3 linked regions of the Macaca fascicularis genome follow. The protein of the gene in region 2 interacts with the protein of the main gene of each other region in a pairwise test. Links are inferred from orthologs where the notes say so. Each region holds a gene or a part of one and is shown on either strand. Other genes may lie near its edges.

Region 1 (3,754 bases), on a different chromosome or scaffold from region 2:
AACAACGGTGAAACCCGTCTCTACTAAAAATACAAAAAAAAAAAAAAAAAAAAAAGAATTAGCCGGGCGAGGTGGCAGGCGCCTGTAGTCCCAGCTACTCCAGAGGCTGAGGCAGGAGAATGGCGTGAACCCAGGAGACGGAGCTTGCAGTGAGCCGAGATAGTGCCACTGCACTCAAGCCTGGGCGACAGAGCGAGACTCCGCCTCAAAAAAAAAAAAAAAAAAAAAAAAAAGAGTTATAACGGTGTTCATAAGAAGAACTACAGACCCCAGAGCTCTCAAATCGCTGGAAGGACTTCTGCGGTGGGCCTGTGCATGATGCACAGAGGACAGGTGGGAAAGAATCACAGACACCTAGTAAGACAACGGGGCATGGCTTTGTCCCGGTTTCAGAGCACCGACACATTTAGTCACCATTTACCTTCCTGGGAGGTAGATTAGGCAGGGGGCACACTAGCCCTGCTTTGTAGGAACAGAAGTAGAGTCTCAGAGAAAACAAGTGACTTGCCCAAGAAGCCTTATTAAGTACCAGCCAGGACAGTGTATTTTCTATTCCTTGTGTTTTGGGATAACTTAGTACCGTCCCCTCCGATGAACCAGTGCCTGCAAAAGCCCTTGAGATCTGGGAAACAGGAGGCACAGATCTTGGAGTTTACCTTGTTCTTAATCAGTCCTCAGGCAGTCGCCTCTAACGCGAGCGAATACCCGCTTCCCGAGGCCGTCACTGGGCAGAGGAGGGGCCAGGCTCCGGATCCCAGATCCCCTTTCCCCGCCCCGCCGTGCCACGCCTGCGCGGGCACGGCCGCCCGCCCCCAAACCCCTCCCGCGGAACCCGCAATCCTGCCTGCGCGGGCGCGGGACTGCGGGCAGGGGGAGGGGCATCGCGGCGCGTCCGTTGCTAAGGCCGCGCAGCCCTAGCGACCGAACGCCCTGCGGCGGCCGCGCAGGCGCTGTGGTGGGCTCCGGTGCACTGTGGGATGGAAACCGGAGCGGCGCGTCCTGGCGGGACCGGGCGGCGGCGGCGGGGCCGGCGGCGGCCAGGGACCCGGGCTTAGGCTCGGCCGGGCCGGCTGAGGACGCAGGCGGCCAGCGGGCGGCGGGCGCCGTCATGAACGCGGCGGTGGTGAGGCGGACGCAGGAGGCGCTGGGGAAGGTGATACGGAGGCCGCCGCTGACAGAGAAGCTGCTGAGCAAGCCCCCGTTCCGCTACCTGCACGACATCATCACGGAGGTGGGCGCCGGGTTCCGGGCCCGGCCAGGTGCGGGTCGGGGTTCCGGTGGGCGCCGAGGTCAGGGCCCAGGCCGGGTGGCGCCGGGTGCGAGCCGGGCTCGGGCTCAGGTGCGGGTGGGGGGCCGGGGCTGGGCCAGAGTCGGGGCCCGGGCCGGGTGTGAACCCGGTGTGGGCCGAGCTCGAGGTGCAGGTCGGGGACCCGGTCAGCGCCGAGTGTGAACCGAGTGTGGGCCGGGCTCAGGGTGCAGGTCAGGGGCCGGGTTAGGGCCGAGTGTGGACCGGGTGTGGGCCGGGCTCGGGGTGCAGGTCGGGGACTGGTTCAGGGCCGGGTGTGGGCCGGGCGCAGGGTGCGGGTCGGGGACCGGGGTGAGTTCCGGGGTCGGGGCGAGAGCTCTGTGCGGCCCCTGCCCGGGAGCCCGGCCTGTAGGCCCAATTCCGCGGCGCCCTCCACGCGGAGGTCCTGCCCCTCCCCCGGCTCCGGGCCGCCGCTTACAGGGAGGCTCCGGGCCCTCGGGGACCATTACTTCTTCCCTGCCTACCGTGTGTCTCCTTAGTGCATCTTCCATTCTGCCTGGCAGAGCTGCTTCTGTGACTCCCACCTCATCTAACCCTGCAGAACCCTTCTCACTTTCCCTGAAGCATTTAGCACGTGAAAGGCTAAATCCTGGGAGAATGGAAATAATATTTTTTATACAGCCTTCTGCCCCGAAGTTTCCCTCCATACCACATTTTGGGTGCTTAATAAATGCCTGTGGGTGAATTTAGTGGAGGTGGTGGTAGGGAGACTTGGCAGGAAAAACTAACAGAGCAGCACACCCTGCCCTAAATTGAGATTGGTGGTCTCTGTAGCTTTTCCCCATTTGCAGATGGTGTGCTCCTCAGTGACGGAGACCCTGGCTTGCTTATTAGTATGGCTCTGGTGATCTGCAGTGGGTAAGGTACATAGAAATTGCACAACAAACATCCCCTGTTGAGTGGGACCTGTCAAGGCTTGTGGTAACTCCCTGGTAACTCTTAGGAGCGTCACTGCGGGGGTTGCAGCACCCATTTCCATGGTGGACCCAAGGGCACGTGGGAACTCAGAGGTGTGTTTTGGGATTTAGGATTCAGGTTGGACTTGCAGACTTCCAGGGCCTCATGACCTCACCTGGTGATGGTCCTCAAGCTCTGTTTCTCACTCTTTTCAACAGATTGGGTGCCTTATTCTTGCACAGACTTTGCTTTACTGGGTCTGCCCTCCTACCTTAGCTTAAACTTGTGGGCTGGAGCGTGTGCCTCTGTGTTAAAACAGTGCCTAAAAATGCTCTCGAATCCACCCACATCCCGAGGCACTGCCAGCCCTGGTCACGTCCTCCCAGCTGGTGCAGCACTTACAGCCTGTCCTGGACAGTGTGTGGGGAGGGGACCTGCTGTGTGGATAGCCCGGTGGGAGCGGAACAGTGTGCCGCATCACCACTGTCCCATGAAATAGGCAGGTACCCGTCCTCTGACCGAGAGGGAACAAGAGCCAATGTGAGCCCAGCCAGCTATAGCTGTGGCTGCCAAAACCTTTATTCTCCCAGTCCTGTCTGCCCCACTGAAATGCAGAGCCCTGAAATGCAGAGGGAGGTGCAGGGAGTGTGCCTTATCCTTGTGGGGCAGTAGTGGCGCTCAGCTCACGGTGGCTGTCCAGTCACTACCACATGGTTGGTCAGAGGCATCCTAATGGGAGAGGAGGAAGAATATGGGCTGGGTGCTGTGGCTCACGCCTGTAATCCCAGCACTCTGGGAGGCCAAGGCGGGCCGATCACTTGAGCCCAGGTGTTCAAGACCAGCCTGGCCAACATGGCAAAACTCCATCTCTACTGAGAATACAAAAATTAGCTGAATGTGGTGGTGCACCTGTAATCCCAGCTACTCAGGAGGCTGAGTAGGGAAGATTGCTTGAGCCTGGAAGGTTGAGGCTGCAGTGAGCCGTGATTGTACCACTGCACTCCAGCCTGGGTGACAGAGTAAGACCCTGTCTCAAAAAAAAAAAAAAAAAAAAAAAAGGGGATTGCTTTCCTGGCCAGGTAGATAGGGTGCGTGGAACGAGCTGCGTGTTCCCAATTAGGAACTACTGGTCTGCTCTTCTCCCATAGACTTCCTCATCTAATGCCAAAGTTGATTTCTGTCCCTGTGTAAAGATAAATAAATTGTCACCTACTTGATAAAGATGTTAGAATGACTGACACATTGGAAAGGATTTTCAGATAATAGATGGGGAGCCTCTCATGAAAATGCCTTGCTGTCCTGAATATTATACACAAATTACTATATTAGTATTTTAGCTATAGCTAAACTAACCACCCCGTTTCATTAAGCTAAGTGTGGATCCTGTGACGTTAATGTCTCTTGTCACTTACAGTTATTGCTCACAATTTTTTTTTTTTTGTTTTAGAGGGAGTCTTGCTCTGTCACCCAGACTGGAGTGCAGTGGCACAATCTCCACTCACTGCAACTTACGCCTCCCGGGTTCAAGCAATTCTCTTGTTTCAGCCTCCT
Region 2 (3,754 bases):
TAGTAGGGATTATTATAACTATAAAAAGAATATCTTTCTTTAAAAAATGCTACCAATGTTTTCTATCAATTTGGGGCTCGCCTGTTGCATAAAAGTAATAAGGAACAAGATGAAGAAGACTTCTATTGGCAAAGAATGATTTACATGCTGAATGACATAATACAACTGCATTCACTTAATACAGAAAAAAAAGAGCCTGCATTCAGAACCATTAAATGATCATTAACTCAATGTCTAAGAAAATGGTGTTTTAAGAATTGGCAGCAGAGAAATGGAAGAAAGAATAATTTGTTAGTAAAGAAGTTTTATCATAATTCACAACTGAAATTTAGGATTTGAGAAAAATGTCTTTGCTCCATTATAAGAATATTCTTTATTTTAGCAGGAAAACATGTCCCATGAGACCTACACACACATTCTGCCTTCAGAATTCAGCTGCTGTGTTCTGCTGCTGCTTCTCTTATTCAGACTGTTGGCATCATCAATACATGACTTTTGCAATCAAAAATCTCAAGGGGAAAAAATAACTTTGGTAGGCAGTGGATACATAACAAATGCATAGATTATTCTGGGCATTTCTTTTTATTTGGTAGAGTGAAATTTTTGGTGTTGTTGAGAGGATAAAAAAGGCATTTAAAAGTCAATTTTAAATCGGGATTTTCTGCTCTGTTATAAATTCACATGAAAGTTACAGAAAATATTGTTATGGTTTTGTACTGAATAGTTTTTGTGTTTGGAAGGCTTTAAAAGCTAGTACTATGTCCACTGTGCTATTCTGGTTTGGATATTAATCAGAACACAGTTGAGCATTATTTGAATTCACAGAGCTTGCCATGCTGGAAGCACAACCTTATATGTAGTGACCATGGACAGTCCTATTATGGGAAACCAACTTGAGAGAGAAGGCGGGTCACTTGCTTGTGCGCAGGTCCTGGAATTTGAAATATCCAGGGGCCTCTACAGAATCCTGGCATCAGTTACTGTGTTGACTCACTCAGTGTTGGGATCACTCACTTTCCCCCTACGGGACTCAGATCTTAGAGGCAATTACCTTCAGAGAAAAATGAATAGGAAAAACTGAAGTGTTATTTTTTTAAAGCTGCTGAAGTTTGTTGGTTTCTCATTGTTTTTAAGCCTACTGGAGCAATAAAGTTTGAAGAACCTTTACCAGGTTTTTTTAATCGCTGCCTTGATATACACTTTTCAAAATGCTTTGGTGGGAAGAAGTAGAGGACTGTTGTAAGTACAAAGTAACTAAAAATGTATTTTACTGTGGCATAATGTTTAGTTTGTGACAAACTCACTAATTAGGTAGATTGATTTTAAATTATCACAGTAGTTTGCAAAGAAGCATAAATGTTATATATACTGCATATATATATGTATTTATTCAGGAATATATATTTTTCATTGGGAAAACTTTTCAATAGAAATTGAGTTTATAAGTTTTTCTTTGCAGAAGAATTAAACACATGATTTCTTGATTAATAAGCCACTGCAGTAATAGAATATGCAGAATGTCATTTGATTATAACAGATTATTTTGATTGCTGTGAGATAGTTTGTATATCTCAGTTATTATTTTGACTAGTTGATACTTCTGTATTTAGTAACAGTTACATAAAGGTTACTGACCTGACATATATTCTCAATTGAACTAACTACTGTATAGGAACTACATGGAGGCCTAAAAGTTAGGAGAAGTTTCTCTGACATATGGAGAAAATAAAGAATAAAATGAGTTGGGATGGAAAATTGAAGGATGTGAAAAGTATTGATAAAGATTTAATTGTAATGTTGCTTTCTCACATTTACTATTTCAAATGCTCTTTTCTATAGCATACCATGATGATTATTTCAAATAATGATGTGATCTATGCTATCAAATGATCAGATGATCTCTTGGGAAAACAACATACAAACTTGAGGAACTCCTAATTATGTTTAGTAGTAAATTATATTTAGTAGATGTTTCAAGTCTATCATGAGCTAGCTTTTCAGTTCAATTTTTTAGTTTGTCTTCCATATAGAAATGCAACTATTTTGTTTATTTTTAAGAAAGTCATGATGACTATTGAAGGATTTAAAAATGGACTGTGGCACAACAGTAAAAATAATATATGATAAGGACTGTGTGTCCCAAAAAGATGGGAGTTTATCTCTTCCCCACCTATCTTTGACTTGTGGAGTATAGTTATTCTAAAATAGATATGAGAGCGATGCCTATAATTAAGAATGAAAAAATAAGTCTCTCCAAATAAGTAATGCTCCACAACTACTAAAAAAAAAAAAAAAAAAGGCAGACGTTTTACCACTGTGAAAAATTTGTGGAAATAAGTTAACATTGTCCATGTATTGAGTCACATTAAAAGCTACCAGATTTTATAATACAACATTTAGTTACATTGTTTGCTTGCTTCATAAATTTCTTTTGGTGAGTATCATTATTGCTTTTAGATTGAAAAACTATTATATTTACTATCATTACAAAAATATGCATGGCATATATCTGTTGTTTGCAATATACACATATACACATATTTTTATTTATCATTTTTATTTCTTTGATATATGTAATATAAATACTATCAAAATCGCTAGTGATTTTATATATATATATATATTCTATATAATTAACCACATATACCAGTATATAGAGCAATTTTGAAAGAATATATGCAATTCTGCTGGAATGAAGCAAGGTAAACCTATCCTCTGCTTTGTCATAGATAGTTGAAAAACTTTCAGTTCTTCGAATGTGAAGGAAGGTAATCTTTTTGGAACATGTCCTGTAGGATTTTTTCACACTGCATTTAAAAAATCATCAAGTAATGCCTATGCAACATGACAATGAGTTTGTTAAGGAAAATGGAGATATACTCAGGGCTATATTATACATTAAATTTTGTTGCTTGACAATATACTACTATTTGGATGTCTGACATTTGAATCTGGTTTGTAAATTCGCCTTAGTTTGAAAAACTTATAAAAGTACATTTTGTTTTTTAAACAGAATAGTTACTCTGTAAAAGAGATCACTGTATTGTCAAACACATTGTATTGTTTACTTTTAGAATTACTCAAATAATGCATTGTAAAGAATTATTCAAATAGTGTATGGCAAATAGATATTTCATTTGAATATATTTAAATGATGTAAGTCATCTTGAGGTCTAACAAAATCATCTTTTAGAATTTCATTTGCAGAATCTTTTAAAGACATCTTAACTATGAAAAAGAGATCGCTGATCTAAATTGATGATATACTGTTAATACAAAGTTTTGGTGTATCTTACATGGCATAACATTATGAAAAATACAACAGAGTATGTCATATAGATGTTATTCTAAACTTTAAAAAAGACTACAAAGTGTTTTATGCATAATTACATTATTTAAGGGGAAATAGGTGTTGGTTGACACTTCTAGCTAGACAGTACTGAATTGCAAATTCATCATTTGGGCAGAGATATTAATACAGCTTCCTCTTTATTCCTATAGCATTCATTTGAAATCCCTGTACTCCACGTCATTTGCTATATATGAAACAAATTGTCAAGTTTTTAACCACTTGTGTAGTTTAATAAAAGAGATTAAAATCATTGCCTTGGAAACATCAGGTGTTTTTCAAAATTCTATTTTATTATCTTTCATCAAAATTTTATCTCAAGAGTAAAACAAACTGATTTCCCAAACTTTCCTTCTCCTCCCACTTTCTATTGTAATATTTTCCTAACTTATTAAAAATGATTTA
Region 3 (3,654 bases), on a different chromosome or scaffold from region 2:
TAAGTAAGGTTTTTGGCTTGGCCAACAGAGTAAGTGGTAGTGCCATTTTCTGAGACAGGGAACACTGAGGGGGAACACTAGATTTAGAGGGTGGAAATCAAGCATTTTGTTTTGCACATGTTAAGTACAGGTCAGATAGGAAATACACTTGGCCTTCCTTATCTGCAGGTTTTGCATCTGCAGATTCAACCAACTATGGATTGAAAATATCCAAAACAGTAAAAACAGGCTGGGCACAATGGCTCACTCCTATAACCCTAGCACTTTGGGAGACCAAGCTGGGAGGATCACTTGAGTCCAGGAGTTTGAGACCAGCCTGGGCAACATAGTGAGACCTTGTCTCTACAAAAAATAATTTATAAAAACTAGCGGGGCATGGTGGCACACATCTGTAGTCCTAGCTACTCAGGAGGCTGAGGCAGGAGGATTGCTTGAGCCTGGGAGGTCGAGGCTTTAGTGAGCTGTGATCCCACCACTTCACTTCACTCTGGGCAACAGAGTGAGACCCCTGTCTCAAAAAAAAAAAAAAAAAAAAAAAAGAAGAAAACCAATAAAACATAACTACAGTTAAAAAAAAAATACATTTTAACAAGTTAGAGTTCCAAGGGGGGAAAAACAATACAGTATAACTACGATTTACTTAGTATTTACATGAACTATAATTATAATTTAGAGATGAGATGATTTGAAGTATATGGGATGATGCGTGTAGGTTATATGCAAATACTACACTGTTTTATTTAAGGGACTGAAGCATCTACAGATTTTAGTATCCTTGGAGAGGTCTGGGAACCCATCTCCCGTGGATACTGAGGGATGGCTGTACAAGACAGATGTCAGGATAGTTCAGGAGTGCAGACAGAGACTTGGGAGTTATCAGCTTTCAGGTAGTTTTAAAACCATCATACTCTATGAGACAGATATGGATTTTGTCCCCAAGGGGTTTGCAGTCCAGAAGGAAAGAGAAAGTGTGCAGAATAGAAAGTGGTAACATGAAGTGATAAGGAACACTTGGGGAAGTGAATCATTTCATTTGGTTGGAATTTAGATGTAAAGTTTACTGGTTTCCCTTTTAAAGGGAAGGTTGCAAAGTACGATTTGACCTTGAGATCACTTTATCCAATGATAGCAAGGTGTTAAGCCTTTTGAATAGAGGGTAAAAACTAACTCTGGAATTATTGCCTCCTCCTTCTTAGTATTCTTTAATTTATTTCGAAGACCTATTACTTTCATTCACAAATCACTCTCAGATTTTCCCTGTTCTCTCCATTATTACTGCTGCCACCTAAAACTAAGCCTTCCTCCCTTTACTCCCCTGGCATCTCACTCCGAAATACTCTGCAAACCATCTTAACATAATATCCTAAATACTTCTATCATACCTGCCCAACCTTATTTTTCATGGTTCTTCTCCATCATCCTGTTCATCTCACTAAATTATAGAATTTATGGTACATGGTGAATAGTGAAAATTAATCTGAAAAAAAAAAAAAAAAAAAAAAACCGGAACAAAACCCAACCACCTGGATTGGTTCTCTCAAATGTCTGGTTATGGATGGGTGACAAATTTTGCCTTGCCTAGATGGAAGTGGGAAGGTCCTAACCCTTTTGACCTCATGCTTGAAAATTCATCATCCTTTTATAATTGAGCATATTTGAGATGAGCTCTAGGTCCCTTGAGTAATCTAGACATAATTTGTGTGGCTGAATATCACACAACTGCGTGACCCTCCAGAATAATTGGAGGTCTGGTGTAGAGAAGCCTCTCCAGGGATGGATTCTGCATCTGGTCTGTGAAAACTCCTTCAGAAAACAGGTAAACACTTGTGCATTCCTGGTACAGGAAAAAGTTTAGGAGTTCCATGACAGACTTTTTATGTCTAGGCTTTATTTTTTAAATTCTATGTAAAAAACATTAGTAAGTGTATTTCTTACCAACTATCCATAGACATCAGTCTAAAATAGTGGTGTTTTCTCTTTCTATCAGGTTTTTGCTGCAGAGGGTTTAAAACTTACTTCCAGTGTACAAGCTTTTTCAAAACAGGTAACACATGTCTACCTGCCTGGTGCTGGTGGTGGTATTATATATACCCACTTTGGGGGTATAATATCAAGGTATAAAGGTATTTAAGGTATTAAAGATGGAGTTTTGTTGCGGGCTGTTATAACTTGCTAAATTACATTTCAGCTGAAAGACGATGACAAGCTTATGCTTCTCCTGGAAATAAACAAGCTAATTCCTCTATGCCACCAGCTCCAGACAGTAACTAAGACTTCTTTGCAGAATAAAGTATTTCTAAAGGTAAAAGAGACATTTGAAAAACGTTCACATATCTATCTTTATCTGGTTAGGGAAAGCCCCTTTTTCTTCAAATAAAGTGTTAATACCCACAGAAGGGCAATTTTATTTCCTTTTTTTCATGCCTTGTCTACAAGAATCATTTATTATCTACCCTTATAACTGACCCCAGAGAGTAGCAGATTCACCAAAGAAAGTAGTTTTTGGGACATCATTAATTCCATAGCACTGAGCAGCTACCCTTCAATTCTGAAGTCATTTCCTCTGTAACTAGGACACAGGTGCCTCCGAGTCTGGTCTCCCATAATTTGTCTGAGAGAATATGGGTTTGTGCCCACAATGCAGAGTGCAAGGAATTGCAAAGGATGAGATTTAATTCCACTATTTGGAGTGTTTTGGGAAGCCCCTAAACAGCCTGCATTAGAATGATGAATTTTCCACCCACTCTTTCTGCTGAGGTTCCATGAGATAGACATGAGATGTAGGCAGTGACCCCTGCACCTGTGTCCTGGGGCTTTAAGTCAACTCATGTGCCTAAATCCATGTATCTTTCACAATCCCTTAGATTTCCATATGGAGAAAATTTTATCATGTTAAAACTAAATAAATGGTAAGGTCTTTTAAATACTACTTTTAGAATATCATTTGCATGCTTTTTGTCACTGTAGGTTGATAAGTGTATTACAAAGACAAGATCCATGATGGCTCTCTTAGTCCAACTTCTTTCACTTTGTTATAAACTGCTGAAGAAGGTGAGATAGCTTTTCTATTTTAGACTCATACTTTAAAAATTGGTTAAAAGGAAAATGCAAAAGAAAATAGTTACTACTTAATTTTGTAATTTTTTTTCAGAGTGAAACAGATACTAATTGTCTTAACTCTTTCCAGCTTCAGATGGAAAATAACGGATGGATCTCAGTTACAAATAAGGACAGTATGGATGGTAAAATTTGAGAGGCTTATGGGATCAGATCTCGGGAACATCATGTGATGAAGCTGACATTTTAAAAAAGCAAATGATCCTTTATGTTTTTGGATATTCATCAATTTTATAAAGAAAACAATATTGAAATTTTGCTCTATTTTCTGATCATGAAACTGTAAAGCTTTTTGACAACTAATAAATGTCATGGCAATTGCTAGATTCTAATTGTAGTGTGATTTAAAAATGGAACATTGCACTAGTGTTCTTTAAAAGTCAAACCAAATATCCCAACTGTCCAAAGGATAATTTAATCCAAAGAAGCTATTTTGAATATGTGTTCGCCTTTGGCATATTTTACCTTAACTGTTTTCTTTCTTTATCATCTAGATCACTAATTTCAGCAGCAAACATACAGTAGTCTGGGTGAACG

What was found.
Region 1: the proteins of DMD (region 2) and TRAF3IP1 interact in a two-hybrid assay, tested with the Homo sapiens proteins (2 studies listed by BioGRID and IntAct). The link is inferred for Macaca fascicularis from reciprocal best matches to the Homo sapiens genes DMD and TRAF3IP1.
Region 3: the proteins of DMD (region 2) and CTNNAL1 interact in binary tests that used the Homo sapiens proteins (3 or more experiments, as listed by UniProt). The two-hybrid records come from large-scale screens. The link is inferred for Macaca fascicularis from reciprocal best matches to the Homo sapiens genes DMD and CTNNAL1.

Annotation. Positions count from the first base shown.
Region 1 is NC_088386.1:134,235,134-134,238,887, forward strand, and holds the start of TRAF3IP1 (TRAF3-interacting protein 1), read left to right. Parts: upstream 1-952; 5' UTR 953-1,108; coding exon 1,109-1,231; exon of another isoform or gene 1,232-1,259; intron 1,260-3,754.
Region 2 is NC_088395.1:33,307,166-33,310,919, reverse strand, and holds the start of DMD (dystrophin), read left to right. Parts: upstream 1-972; 5' UTR 973-1,208; coding exon 1,209-1,239; intron 1,240-3,754. UniProt on the Homo sapiens protein: Anchors the extracellular matrix to the cytoskeleton via F-actin. Ligand for dystroglycan.
Region 3 is NC_088389.1:49,182,320-49,185,973, forward strand, and holds the end of CTNNAL1 (alpha-catulin), read left to right. Parts: intron 1-1,987; coding exon 1,988-2,044; intron 2,045-2,188; coding exon 2,189-2,302; intron 2,303-2,967; coding exon 2,968-3,051; intron 3,052-3,187; coding exon 3,188-3,253; 3' UTR 3,254-3,441; downstream 3,442-3,654. UniProt on the Homo sapiens protein: May modulate the Rho pathway signaling by providing a scaffold for the Lbc Rho guanine nucleotide exchange factor (ARHGEF1).